Linked DNA regions of Alligator mississippiensis. The protein of the gene in region 1 binds, or shares a complex with, the protein of each later gene. Links are inferred from orthologs where the notes say so. Each region holds a gene or a part of one and is shown on either strand. Other genes may lie near its edges.

Region 1 (7,556 bases):
CCATCAGCCCAAATGGGGTTTTTTTGTTAACCAAAAGAGCTGCACTCTAATGTTCTGACTGGGTCCAGCAACACAACACTTCATAAAAGAACCAGTCAACTTTAAAATGATGGTGCAAGGAAATGAATTACTTAGTTTGCCCCCAGCCCTAGTTATTGATACTGAGAGCTTGTCACAATTTGCTACTATGAAACGTGGATGCTTCAAGTCCTTCACTAAAGCCAGTTTCAAATACACCTGTAAAACAGAAGAACTTGTGGCTAAATATGGCTGGCAGTATAAGCTACTGTGGATAAGTCACTTTTTTAATTTCAGCTTCATACTTGGCTGCTACCTACAGGCTTTTTCTCCACAATCCCCAATAACACTTACTTTCTTAAGTGTGTTTATAAACTCCAATAACCTACATGCTTGTTCAGGTGTCTGTTTTTAACTTACCTGACAAGAGAACCAGCCCTCCGAGGTGCAAATGCGGGCTGCTGCCTCTTCTCTTCTGTCAAAGTAACATCCATTATATTTCACAGATCTCAGTTTGTCCAACATAAGGTCACTGATGCTTTTATATATGGCTTGCGCTGTTGGATGAACAGCTGAAATATAACTGCTAACCTTTTTGGGGAGAAAAAAAAAACAGTAATTCCTCAGATGATACTTATTGCCCTCTGAGCTTGCTTACTAAATCCAGTATACTTTTGTGTAGTATTTGGATAAGGTGGTTCCCACAACTGCCCATGGAAAAAGTTATTGGCTAGCTAGGTCTAATATAAAGTACTCTTTTTCAGCTAGTTTGAAAATAAACTGCACATTTTACCTCTTTCATGTAACTTCGTATGCGGCTTTCACAACCGTACCTCATGTAACTCGATTTATTCCTAAACCGAGGCTCTATACCTACAAGGAATAAAAGAATACATCACAGCTTGTTGACAAAAATGTTCAGTTGCCTCTGTTTTCTTAGGAAACCAGATGACTTGTGTGTGAATTTTTTCTGTCCTGTTTCAATGTGCCTGCTCTGGGCCAGGACTGCCAGACTAGTTAACCTATATAATCACTCAGTATATACAAAGGGGGAAGAACATCAACCTAGAACATTTAATATTTACAAGTAAAGTGTGGGTTGAAAAGGAATGGGAGCCTGGTAAGAGGAAATAACTCAGCACTGCAGCGAATTCCTTGATGGATTTAGTGCTTAGCAGGAAGACAGGTGGGGAGCAGAGAGGGATCTTTGTTGGGTCATTTTAAAATAAGACTTAACATAGTACTGGAGGTCATTCACCAGTTATATATCAGAAAATGTGAAACATAGTTATGTGAATAAATGTACACTAACCTATAATGGCTGGACCACTGTACCCTTCTGGGGAGTAAAATTTACCAGACTACACCAAGGATAAGAGTAATTCCCTTAGGAGAGTAACAAAGAAGTGCAAATGTAAAAAGATTAAAATTGGTTGTGGGGGTGGAGATGTCAAGGGCCCATGTTTGACTGCAATCCAAAATAAAATTCATTGTGTGAAATTCTTAGTGGAGGTGTATTGATTTACCATCAAACCACTTTTCGTCTTCCTCTCTGTCTTCTGCCACAATATTTTCACTTAAGTTATGAATGAGATCCAGTAGCAGCTTCTGTGTCATGGGAGCCTGTTTATCAGATAGCAGCTTCTGGGCAGCCTCAACAATGTCATCTTTTCGTTTGTAAAATGCATTTAGGAAGTGGCTAACATCACTGACATCTGGATTTTTGAATGAAGAAAAAAGGTTCTGTTACTCTTAGATGAATGCACCTTGTCCAAAGTATTTTTGTGGTGGGTTTTGTATTCTACCCTCAAACAAGTAATCGGGAACTGTATAAACAGGTCATTAGTAAGAGGCTGTTTTTCCAACATTTGTTTCTGATTTAACACAACATTTTGGGATTTACTGCTAAAACTCCAGATTTTTTCCTCTCAAGAAGGCAAGGAAACCTCCCTTTATGGACAAATTCTACCTTCCCCCTAGCCACGTTCAACAGCACTTTGCCCTGTGAGCCACGCCTTACTCTGCAAGTAGTCACTGAAATCAGGTGAGCAAAGAAAGGAATCAGAAATCTGGCTCACCAGGCATTAGAGCAGGGTCTTAGCAGGCAGTCAGGTGCCCAGATGGAAAAGGAGGGGGGAAGAAATCCTCCCACTGTTCTCTTCCGACAGCATTTCCTTAAACAATAACACCTCGCTAATAACGACATGAGCAAGTGCAGTTTCTTTGTTTTTAATACAAGGAAGCAGAAAACTAAGCATAATACACCCAACTGTACTTTTAAGTTGATACGTGCCCAGCTTACGTTCAGTGCTGTACTCCTCTACATGTCGAGCAGTATTCGGTGATGCAGTTTCAGCTCTGCCATCCCTTTTTGGGAACTAATGAAGCTTTTGTGCATCATTTTGTTGCAACAGGGATGTAGACTGAGTAAAACGTGATGTGCTGAATCTTAATCATAAGCTAACCACCAAAAGCTTTCGCTTCCTCTTTGGAATTAAACCGAAGTGTTCCTACTTACACCCTTGCCAGGTCTCCCCTGGGGCTAGTAATACAAGGTCTGTATTATCTGGCATGTGGCGGAAGTAGCTTTCGGTCACTTCTGTCGCGTCCTCGTACAGACAGGCCCGACAGCCCCGCGCAGGAAGCTGTTTAATGAAAGCAAACAAACCCGGGTGTTTTCCGTTTCTTGAAGGTCAGCAAACAACAGGCAAGAGGAAATCTGCAAAGCTCAAGTTGCTAAAGAAAGGGAGACAAGTCACGGACCACGCCAGCTCCTCCCCGCCGCTTGCTTTCCCCGATTACAAGAAACAGACATTTTTCTGTTGCAAAGCCCCGGGGCGGCGCGCAGACCTGCAGCAGCTTGGCCCCCTTGCGCAGCAGCTCCCGCAGGCTCGCCGCCGCCACCCCGTACTTGCGCGCGCCGCGCAGCCCGCGCACCTTGGCGAGCCGGACCTGCGGGGTCATGGCGCGGCCGGGCCCCAGTGCGCATGCGCGCAGGCAGCGCGTCCGCGCCCGGGATGTGCTGAGGGGGAGCGGCGCATGCGCCCCGGGACTGGTACGCATGCGCGGGGTGTGCCGGCTGGTTGCCATGAGAGCCGGGGCCCGGGGGTGGCGCCGCCGTGGAGGTGAGACGGGCCCCGCCGGGCGCTCACCACGGGGTGTTTTCTGGCCGCTGGGCCTCCCGCCCGCGGTGGTCTCCTCGGCGGCGGCGGCGCGGCGTGGGCCCGGGGGTGGCTGGGCGGGCGGGGGTGCTGCTGCCCGGTGAGCAGCGCGGCTCTGTCCGCAGGCCCCGGGGCCGAGCGGGCGGGTGGGTGCTGCACCTGGGCGTCGACCCGAGACGGGCCCGGACGACGCGGACCGCGGCTGTGGCGGAGGAGCCGGCCGCTCGTTAACGAGACGGGTGTCGGCTCCTCTGCCCCCACCCGGCCCCGGCCCGCTGAGACGGCGCGGTGCGTGGGTGGGGGTCTGACCCCGGAGGGTTTCCAGGAAAGCCTCCTCTTGGCCGTCCCTTCCAGCCCCCTTTCCTCCTCTCTGCCGTATTTTAATTCTGCTGCAAAACTAATCCTGAAGCATTTTGTTGATGCTCCCTGTATTAATGGAAATGGCTTGAGAAGCCCCTAGGAAGTGCCCAGAAAAAGCTGTTTAGAGGAAATCCTGGCACTGAACAAATATTTAAGGAATCCATCTGAATGTTCAGGTTTCTTTGCCTTTATTAGAGGAGGCTGGTAAAGTTACCCCCAAACTACTGATATTTATTTATACAAAAAATATGTCATAGGTCCTTAAACTAAATCCGAATGTGCCAACAGTTCTTAAAGAAGAGCCATTCAAGTAAGCGGCTCTCCCTCCAAGTACAGACGGCAAGTCTTGTAATTGTTGCTGTCGTGGTGTTTTGTTTACGTGTCGATCACATAGTGTTTTTACCGTTCTGTTTTGAATGCAGGATGCCACACAAGGTTGGGTTTGTAGTTCTCAGTTCATCAGGACATGAAGATGGCTTCAGTGCAAAGGAGCTGATGGTTCATGCACCAACAGTTAATGGATGGAGATCACCAAGGTACCAAAAGTGATAAAAGCTCTTAATATTTTGTAAAAAGTATTAAATACAATTCATTTACAAATGAGAGAAAAAAGCAGTCAACAAGTTAATCTCTTTTAACCGGGTCTTAAATTTTGATTTCTTGGGTTTATTTAATCATCATTGTAGGATTATGGTTTTACATAACTTCTTGAACTTCAGATGAAATACAAAGAGCTCCTTAAAGTTCAGTACCAATTCTGTGAACTGCTTCAAGCAGCCTCTTGCTCAAATGAGTCCCTTTCAAAGTCACGTTCCTATCCGGAACAGCTTACTGGCTCAGGAAATAAATTTTCCTTGAACTGTCAACCAAGTTGCATATTTCTATTCATCCTGTTCAATCTTCATCCTCAAAAAACAAGCCCCACTGCTCCCACCCCCTGTACAATCAGAAGTACCACCAGTTTGAAATCCAGTAATTTAAAAAAAAAAAAAAAGTATTCTCAGGCAATCCATCTGTTGCTAAGTAACCCTGCCAATTTTTTAGTAAAGCAATAAGCTGGTCCTTAAACTCTTAAAATGTTTTTCAGTTTCCTGCAAAGGTCCATGTAGCCAGAAGGGCAGGGTCTGTATATATGCACTGCAAGCAAGGTACCACACGCACGCAACTGAAAAGAAGATTTTTTTTTTTTTGTATTGTAGTCTTTAGAATCTTAAGGTTTATAAGTAATTGTGATAGCTAAATGATTGCAACACAAAAATGTGATTGAAAATGGCAGTAAATCTTTAACATGATGACTACTGCGAGTTCTGTTCACTTCTAGACTCTGTCAGTACCCACAAGAAATTGTCCTTCAGATGGTGGAGAGATGTCGTGTTCGAAAGCTGCAGCTGCTCGCGCACCAGTACATGATCTCAAGTAAAATTGAGTTTTACATTAGTGAAAACCTTCCTGAATACTTTGCACCTTACCAGTCGGAACGGTTTCGAAGGCTAGGGTAAGTCAAGAGACAATCTGGTTCTGTTCTTTGAACCAGAAAGGAGTGGAGTGTACATGTTAGCCTTGGGTGAAATGTTGCTGAGATATTTTCCAAACAGTGAAATAGAAATTCTGCCCCAGGATGTCCCTGTGGAACCCCAAAGTAATAAAGTAGAAGACAGTGGGTGGGTACTTGAGAACAGAATTTTGCTGTCTAGTCTTTTCTGTGGGCTTAGATTAAATGTAAATTTAGATATTTTGGAGGCTTATTGGCTGACACTTCTGTGCACGTCTCATACGCACGTGGAGAAAGCATGCTCATTCTTTTCCTTTCAGTGACTCACGGGGGAGACGTATTGAATACTTTTTTGTAATGTGGCAGACAAGGTTCTTTGGGTAAATGTGATATCCTTTATTAGACCCATTAAATAGTTGGACATTTATTATTTGCAAGCTTTTGGGCACAAACACCTTTCTTCCAGCATAGGGAGAGACTGCTGGTGTTTGTGCGCTCTCCTAAGCCAATATAAAAAATGCAGGTCTGAAAATGCAAATGCATGGCAGGAAAGATCAGAAGGGATGGGAGATAATAGGTGGGGACAGGTAGGTTGGTGTGGGGAGAAGGGGAAAGGAGGGAATGTTGACCTGGTGATAGAATGCAGCTGGTATCGCATCATATTTATCCAAGGTCCTTGTCTGCCTATGTGCTTTGACTAACATGTCTATAACCAACACCCCTGAAACATGGAAGATGTAATTTTTTTGTAATGTGGTAGCTCTTAGAAGCATCTGTCATCATTTTGACTCTCCCAGGCACAAACAGAAAACCAATGTGGTCCCTTCCTGAAATAGCTTGAAACTGATGTTTATAACTACATTAATATCATTATGTATGGAAGTTTTCGGTGCCTTGCAATTCTAGGGGAACAGTGATTGTTGATTGGTTTGATGCATCTCTCTAGTCCAGTATTGTTTTAATACTGAGGCATATTTAATGCCACAATGTTTCTTTAACATATTGGTTCCAGTTCTTCAGTGGCTTCTGTTTATGTAGAGACTTGGGCAGAGAATCCACGTACACACTTTCTCAGTTTGGGACCAGAGCTACTGTGTTTATTCAACTCCAAAGCCTACTGAAGCGAGTGAAAAGACACCTGCTAACTTCAAGTGGCTACTAAATTAGTTTGTAGAGCTGCTTTTAAGCAAAAAGGCAAGGGTACAACATCTTCAACTGGTGTTCTTTGGTTTAGTTCTCAGGGGAGTTTTACAGCCCATCAAAATATACCTTGCCAACTTGCATGCTTTTTACAGTTAATCTGTTTTTTCTCCCACAGTTATGTATCCCTATCAGACAATGAGAAGACTGGGTACAAAGCACGGGAGCTGAAATCAGTGTATGTGGATGCAGTTGGACAATATCTAAAGCTGACTTTTCATAAAAATTATGTCAATAGGTACAACTTGTATGGGCAGGTGAGAGGTGTTTATGTAATTACTTTAACATTTTAGCCGTGTATGACGGCCATAGAGAAATTCTCCATTAATCATTAAAAGTACAAATTCCATTGGGAAGTTGGTTAATGCAACTGAGCAATTTTCCAAGGAGCAAGAAGAAAAACAAAAAAGATGGGGTTATAAAGGATTTTTGTATTATATTTTAGATATAATGGTAAGAACTGTACTTTGGTGGACAAAGTCAAGTGCTCTTTGTACCTCAAAAGCATAGATGGTATAAAAGTTCTCCTGCTGAATGCTTTAAAATAGGAAGTTCCTCCATTTCTCTAGAATAAATATATCTAAGATGCAAGCTAATATAGCCAAAACAAACCCTTTGAGGGTAAAATGCATTTAAAAACCTCCTCTGCTGGTATTTTGTTCACTACAAAATATCTTTCAGTCACTAAGATATGATATTTCTTGTTAGATAGAATAGATGAACTTCTATCCAGATTGAGAAGGTGTCTTTCTAAACTTGATAGTTACTAATACATATTTAAACAGTGAATAATTTTGGCCAGCTGCATAAAACAATCACTGGTCAGTGATTGAATGGCTGAGAGAGAAAAATAATATCTAAAAGGTGTGGCTGAGGCTGATTTCATGCATGTGCTTTCCATTTCAATTTCAGCCTAAGATGTGGTCTTTTAAAATACAGTTTAAAGAAATAGCATAATTTCCAAGCTCTAAGGAACCTAGGGAAACATGAAAATATTAGAATTATGTAGCTCAATATTAACTTTTACTTTTTGAAAAATATACTCCAGGGGGGTCAGCAAAACTTTGTACAATGTTTGGGTCTTCATAAAATAGGTAAATTCCAATGGCCTTCTGTATTCATGTTTCTTTTAATTCTATCTTAGGTTGCTCTAGTAGCAATAAATATAATTGGGGAACCTGCCGACTCTACTAATGACAATAATAATGTAAGTACTTAAAGCATAGAAGGTTTCCTGTCAAATTCTAAATTTTCTTCTTAAAGTTCCTATACATATCCTTAATTATGAGTCAGGATAATCAAGGATGAATTTTGATCTTTTTGGT
Region 2 (7,368 bases), about 4.9 Mb from region 1:
TTCCACAGGTACCATCACAGGTAAACCTGCGTGTATAAACAATAGCTCAAGCTCTCCATCTCCTCTGCAGGCTTCCCCATTCACTTCAGGATCCAGTTTAAAATAAAAATTCTCCCCATAGTTTTTAAATACCCTCTTTGGCTTTGCCAGAGCCTGTCTCCTGAGCCTTATGTACCACTACTCCCCTTCACACTTGGTTTGTGAAGACATTTACATTGAACTCCTCACAGAAAAGGCCTTGCACATTGTTGGTGCCCAAGCTTTCTCCACAGCTGCTCCTGTTGCTTCTTATTTTCTTTACCAACGCTCCACCTCATTTCAAATCCCAGCTGAAGCATATTTTCTATTCCTTGTCTCTCATTATCACTGAATTATAGAAAACCAGGGCTAGAAGGAATCTGGAGGTCATCTAACCCAAGCCCCTACACCAGGCAGTATCTCTTGCATCTAAATCAACCTAAACAAGTGTTGTGTAACTGCATCGAAACACTTTCAATGATCTCTTCCACTGCCTCACTAAATGATCTCTTTCACTGCTTAAACACCTTCAGAGTTAGACCATTATTCCTAATATCCAATCTAAATCATCCATGACTTCTTGTCCTGCCCCAGGTGACCACAGAGAATGACTAACGACCATGCTCTTTATAACAGACCTTTTTTGTATCCGAAGATTGTTCTCAAATCCCCCTTGTATCATAGCCTTCTTTCTTTCACTAAACGACCCCAATTCTTCCAACCTTTTGTTATACGTAATATTGTCAAGATATCTAGCCACGCCTGCCGGTCTCCTCTGGACTCTCTTCAACTGGTCCGCGCGTCTCTCAAAGTGCCCGGGGGTGGATAAAGCACCTCACCAGCGCTGACCACTTTTCGTGTCCGGCACAGACGCTCCTGTTCATAGATTCCAGTGTGACAACAGCTCGTTTCCACACTACGACATTGTTCGGTCACATTCAAACCGTGACCCAGTACAGCCAGTTCTCCATTTTTTTTCTGCAATACTGCAACACTGTTAGTCAATCGTCATTTTGCATTTAATTGCTCCTTCCAAAGTGCATTATCTTGCACTATTCCTTATTGAATATTATCCTTTTCATTTCACACTTTCCCCCACCCCCCCAAGTTATCAAGGTCATTTTAAATCCTCAACCTTTCCCTCCAAAGTTTCTTCTGCCCATGAGGCTTGGTCTCGTCCTCCGAGTTAATAAGCGCGCACTCGGCTCTATCATCCAGGTTACTAATTAAAGCACAGAACAGTACGAGACCAGGACGCACGCCTGGCAAAAGACTGGGACAGATGCCAGACCCACTCGACGCTGCCCCCAGTCGGAGACAGAGCCGCAGACGACTCCCACCAGCCTGACGATCCAGTCCGCTGCGCGCATCGACCCTACGGCAGCTCTTATTTCTGTAGCCTCCTCCTTCGCGAGAGGTCCCTGCAACGCTGCTCGCTCACAGGGTCCCTCACACGCTGCTTGCCCCCGTCACGAGGCTGCCATCGCCTTTGACGACCCCACCTTGGCTACGACTCGTCCCCTCGCGCTCTTCGAGGAGCTGGCGAGTCGTGGCACCGGCTCGGGTGGGGAGGGCCCCCAATGGGCACAGTGCTTCGCCTCTCACCCACTTTGGGGGGGGAGGGGTGACTGTTTCCAGCCACCTGAGACCTCACTGGAGCCCGCGATCGCCGCAGGCGAGGCCACTCGGGCCCCCCGAGGCGCTGCTCCTCCAGCAGCCGGGCCACACGCAGCCGCCCCCGCCTCCAGGGGGGTGCCCGGGCCCCACGGCGGGAGGCCCCGCGGCCTACCCCGCTCGCCTCAGGGGCGCCGGGGGAGGAGGCGTCGCACGCGCCCCTGCGGCCTGGGGGACGCGGCCCCGGCGGGGGAGGGGGGAAGACGCCACCGCCGCTTACCTGGCTGGGCGGCTCTGCCTGCTCCGAGGAGGCCATGTTTCCAGACCCGGCTAATCCATCCCCGCCTCGGCCGCTCGGAACACCTCCCGCGCCCCGCCGGCCTCAGGCAGAAGCAGCGGACCGCCCCGCTATCGATCGACCTGAGTCTGCCCATCTCAGACTGAGCCCCAGAGCTGGACGAGGGTCGTTTTCCTGCGAGCGTTAAAGATATCAACGCTAATCAGCATGAAGAGGGCTCCACATGTTTATTAGACCAACTCTAAGAAAAGAGAGGGGTGTAGGTTGTAGCTGTGTTGGTCTAAGGGCATAGGCAGACAAGGGTTTGGGGGTAAATCTGATCTCTTTTATTAGATAGACCAACTCAAATAGTTGGGAACATTTTTCTTTGCAAGCTTTTGGGCATAAATACCCTTTGACAGGGTGAAAAGGCATCTATTTTTTTTTTAATTTAATTTGTATTTGCGGTCAAATTAGCCAAAACTAACTCCAAATCCATCTGCAGTTGGTGTGTGCTCTTCCTGGGCGCAATGAATAGTAAACCACTTTTTATTCCATCCAGGAAGAGCACGCACCAACTGCTGAAACTTCCTCAGCCTGACAAAGGGTTTTTGAGCCCAAAAGCTTGCTTAAAAATTGTTTTCCAACTATTTATGTTGGTCTAATAAAAGATATCAGATTCACCCAAAGAACCTTGCCTGCCTAGTAAAGCAGCCGGCACATTTACCCAAAGACCCTTGTCAACCTAGGCCTTCACATCAATGCTGACGTTGTTCTGGCTGCAGGGTCTTTAAGGCAAGGTTCACTGTCAGTTGTTAATCACTGATGGCTTTGCTCTGGTTGCAGGGTCTTTGAAAGCAAGGTCCACTGTCAGTTATTAATCACTGATGGTTCACACCTATGCATGGTGCATGCTCCATATTTGTTATCTCCCATTATAAACAACATGCATTTCAAACAACTTATGCGCTAAGAACTTGCCTGCACAGTTTAGCTTGCAGGATTAAAGTCGGTCACAATCCCGTAACAATTACTGGTTGCAGCACAGCAACAAATCCTGCCTGCTCCAGTCAGCTGACTTCAGTGGGGCTGTTTTCATGAGTAAAGCAATAGTACTATCAACGGGAACGAGTACAATATCAGGCCCTCGATTAAACTCCGTAAAAAGGATTTAAAAGCCTGTTCCTGCACCACTTAAACCATTGACAAAAGTCTTATTGATTTCAGTGGTGAAGTTTTTGGCTCGCTGTGTATCGCTTCCTTGTTTTTGTTTACACACGACTATTTATTATTCATTATTATTTCATTTGTATAGCTCCCAGAAGTCTGCCATGTGCTAAAAAGCACAAATAATGAGTCAGATTTTGCAAACTCTGCAAGTGTGTAACTTTATTCTTGACTTCACTGGACTACTCAAGTGAGTGTAGATCTTACCTGCATCGTGAGCTCCTTCCTGGCATATTTGGGCTATACTGATGTTTGCAAGAGGTGATTCCTTGCTGTGCAAATATTCTTCTTTGTGTATATTATAGTTCAGAGCAGATGCACTTTTTTATAACTCTATTTATTAATTCATGTGCAAAACACAATGCACTACAAATACATTTCACTATTTTTATGTTTTGTTATGGTAGCACCCTGCTTTATATACATTTGCACTCTTGCCAACAGTCACAACTTAATTGCAGGTACCTCACCCTGTTGGGTTTTTTTCTTAAAGCCTGAAGTCCTGGAGTCAAGTGATTTCAGCTTTCATTAAAAAACCCCCAACCCTGCAGCCATCACCTCACTGCCGTGCATAAAAGGTGGAAAACACCATCAAGCTTACATTAAAGACTCAAAACCCGAAAATCATTTTAAAAAAAGAGCCTAAATGTGTTATTAGCGAGTCTTTGTAACAAATCGCGGGGAGGATGTGACTCATGGCATTTGCATTCTTGATGCTGACAATGCCATGTGTCTGTACTATTCATTTTTATTTATTATTTAGTTGGTGTAACAAAAGATATCATATGTACCCAGAGAACCTCCCTGCCTATGTGTATATATTATTGCATTGTGCCTGTGCATGTTTAGCTGATAAGAACCCCGGCCCTTAGCAGATCAGAGCTGGGCCCTGTCTTGTGAAACTCCAACCCTGACAAAGAAACACCTTGCAGAGCCTGACAGCCGGGGACTAGAAGGTAACTCACTCGTGCTCCTGTCTCTTTAAGGCGGGCGGGCGGGCAAGGGGCGGACGAGCCCGGCGGACTGGGACTACATCTCCCAGGAGGCACCGGGGCAACGGAGAGCGCGGAAGCACCAGCGATGATGCGAGGGGAGGACTCCACGTCCCAGCATACCTCGCGGTGCGGGCCGGCGGGTCCCGGCGTGCACCGCGCTAGGGTAGCGGATGCAGTGCATTGGCCGTTGCCTCAGTTTCAGGCCGGGAGGCCATGGCAGCAGCGGGGCCGCGGGACGGCGGCGGGGAGGGCGGTGCTGCGGTCCCCTCGCGGAAGCAGTGCCTGATCCGGCGGAACCACGAGCGGGAGCAGCACGGGGTGGCGGTGTCCTGCCTCCGGGAGCTGCGCAGTAAGGGTGCGCTGAGGGCGGGGCTTGGTGCCAAGAGTGGGGGGCGGGGCGGGACGGGACCCTGAGGGTGGGTGGCGGGTGCATAGGTGGGAGGAGCCAAGGGTGGGGGCGAGGCAGGGACCCTCTGAGGGGGAGGGGAGAGGTGTAAGTGGGAGGAGCCGAGGGTGGGGGCAGGGCAGGTGTAGTGGGGGAAGTGATGGGGTTGGGGGGGAAGCATGGGGTGCAGCTCCCTTCAACGGAAACCCGCTGCCCAGCAGGGTGTCTTGGCAGCTGGCGCCAGGCTGCATGGGATTGGAAATGTGCCCTTGGGAACTTCCCCCGGGCAGCTGCCCCCCGGGAGCGGGGCTTGAGCGTGTGACCCTTGAGCGCCGCGACGTGCAGCTCCTGGCTGCGCGAGGAGGGTCCGGGCGTGCGTAGCCACCTGGCTCGGGAACGAGGTGGATGTCGGGACCTATTGCCGCGTTCCCTAAGTTCAAGGAGCCTGGCACAACTACACCTCTTGCGTGCCCAGAGGCACCGAGGTGCCAAGTGCTGCACATGCCAGCATCAGCATTTCCAAAATACAGCCCATGTCGTGGTAAAGGTTAAACTCTGTAATTGCATTAAAGATTTCTAAGCTCCATTAGAGAACGAAATTGCTTTGGCTAAATCTACACTAGTTGCTTTGGAGATCCCAGGCTGTGTGTACTTAGCCTTTGCTCTTCTGCCTGATGACTGAGTAGGCTTGGCTCGCGTGTGGAGTTTGTAAGTGTTCAAAACAGTACCTTGATCTCATGTCTCCTTGCTTTGGGCTTTCCTCTCTGGATTGCTGCCTTGTGACGTGTTTATCATAGGCGCTCCATTCCCTCACATGTGTTGACGGGGTCAGACATGTGGTGCTGGACAAGCGATGCCTACTGTAGCTGCCAAGGCTGTCTTGCATCCTTGATTCATAAAAATAAACGATCTCTCCTGCAGCCTGTGACGTTCTAGCCATTGACAAGACGTGGGAACCCATCACTTTAGTACTGGCAGAGGATGGCACCATTGTGGATGATGAAGATTACTTCCTGTGCTTACCGGCTAACACCAAGTTTGTGGCATTGGCCCGAAACGAAAAGTGGTCCAGCAGGAGTCTAGGTACTGAGGGTGATGGTGGTAGCTTGTCTGTGAATGTCCCAGAAATAAAATCATCTGCTTACGTTGGACCGAGGGCTCTTTGCTGGACGCCCATTTTAGAAATGGTTTCTGCATTCCATCTTCTTAGGTGTGAAGAGAGAACCTGTTATGGACAGGTGATATTAATCTTCTGCTACATTAAAAAAAAATCATCTTGTTCATCTACATGAATACACTCATACTGGTAAATGTAGGAAAGGCAGATGACAGCAATGAAGAGGTGGGGAGAAAATATGTGAGCTCTGGAACAAGTCTGCCTTCATGCATCTTGATAGGCACCAAGAAAACAACTGAAAAAAAAAGTTTAAATGTTACATTGCCCTTCTAATCAGTCACACAGATGGGTCAGCCCAAGAGACTACAGCTCATGAATGGCTTCTGAAAGCAGCATTTTAAACACTTCCCATAATTGCAGTGTAGGTTTTGTAGCTAGGATTCCAACTCAAGGGCAAGAAAACATCAATAGCTCATAGACCAGACACTGCTTCCTCTATTATACATAACTGCTATACTCCCAATGGACAGCTCCCCACACGGATCTGTCTGGATTTTGTTGTCACTCTCTTTGCAACCTTGAGTTTCTTAGTCTTGTGATTCTGGTTATGTCTGTCATGTTAGATGGGGGCACAGCCTGGCTCTCAAGAGAATCCATGGATGAAGTGGACACCAGTGAAGACAAGTGGAAACACCTGGCCCGGCAGCTGAAAGATGACTTGTCCAGCATCATTTTGATGTCTGAGGAAGACCTTCAGGTATAATGAGAACTACTACAGAAATCTGCCTACCATCCTTCTCCCCACTCAGTGCCTTTTGGTTTTACTAGTAGTGGGTGAAAATGTAGGAAAGCAAAATCTATCAGCCTGTCCAAATTCAACTGCAGTTGGCTTGCTCTGGTGCTGAAATGAAGTTCAGCTCTGGGGATAACATGCACTTGATTGGTAGTGCAAGCTCCAGATTATTCTGTCCTTCCCCTAGACAGTGCTCTTTCCTGGGACCATTTCTTCTCTTGCTTCATCATCTCTTCTCAGTATCCCTCCCCCTCCACACTTAACACCATCCTCCTCTTTCCTCCTCATCTTTCTGTGGTGATGCAACATCCTTCTTTCTGACTGCTTGCTAAATTCTTAACTCCTTCCCTGCCCTCCAACTTTACTTGTCCTTTTGGTCTGTATTGGCCCTGAAGGTTGTGGCTGTTCCACCCTGGCCATCCCTACTGATGTGGCATGTTCTTTCCTTCCTGATCTCCAGCTGATTGACCTGCCTCAGGCTCCAGTTTGAGGTTTTGACCAGTTTGACCCTGCCTTTTGGCTAGGTCATATGAAAGTCCCACCCCTGCCAGAGTACCCAAAGTCAAGAAAATAAAATCTTCTGCCTTGTTTGGACTTGGTGCTCAATAGACTTGCTAGGACTATTTTTCTGCAGGGAGGCTCTGATGGGGAGCTGTATTATGAGGGCCCCAGTTGCTCTCCCCACAGAAAGAACTAAAGGGCTGCTCAGCCAGCAACTGAAATAGGCTCCCCATCAAAGCATGATGCTTGCTTCTGGTGTCAGACAGTAGGGCAGACTGGATTGGCAGCAGTCTAGTCACTCTTACCTAACCAGTGTCAGTCACAAGAACAAACCACTTATAAGCTAGACCACTCCCTGCCTCTTTACATTGGCATGTAGTAGAATTTGGTTGTGGTGACAGCACCTTATGGTGCTTATTTAACAATGGAGCAAACAACCTT

The links.
Region 2: the proteins of DFFB (region 1) and DFFA are in contact, whole or in part, in an NMR structure (PDB 1F2R), measured with the Mus musculus proteins. The link is inferred for Alligator mississippiensis from reciprocal best matches to the Homo sapiens genes DFFB and DFFA. Residues at the interface, in NP_031885.3 of Mus musculus: Cys10, Lys12, Arg14, Ala19, Cys20, Lys21, Phe22, Gly23, Val24, Ala25, Ala26, Arg39; in NP_001020467.1 of Mus musculus: Asp66, Thr68, Ile69, Val70, Asp71, Asp72, Asp74, Tyr75, Trp94, Tyr96, Asp100.

Annotation. Positions count from the first base shown.
Region 1 is NC_081836.1:16,293,941-16,301,496, reverse strand, and holds the start of DFFB (DNA fragmentation factor subunit beta), read right to left. Parts: upstream 3,010-7,556; 5' UTR 2,983-3,009; coding exon 2,869-2,982; intron 2,664-2,868; coding exon 2,537-2,663; intron 1,734-2,536; coding exon 1,545-1,733; intron 892-1,544; coding exon 812-891; intron 610-811; coding exon 439-609; intron 1-438. Other genes in the region: CEP104 (centrosomal protein of 104 kDa), read left to right, coding at 3,963-4,075, 4,861-5,034, 6,350-6,488, 7,376-7,438. UniProt on the Homo sapiens protein: Nuclease that induces DNA fragmentation and chromatin condensation during apoptosis. Degrades naked DNA and induces apoptotic morphology.
Region 2 is NC_081836.1:11,399,420-11,406,787, reverse strand, and holds the start of DFFA (DNA fragmentation factor subunit alpha), read left to right. Parts: upstream 1-4,277; 5' UTR 4,278-4,344; coding exon 4,345-4,486; intron 4,487-5,437; coding exon 5,438-5,599; intron 5,600-6,256; coding exon 6,257-6,390; intron 6,391-7,368. Other genes in the region: peroxisomal membrane protein PEX14, read right to left, coding at 1,913-1,948. UniProt on the Homo sapiens protein: Inhibitor of the caspase-activated DNase (DFF40).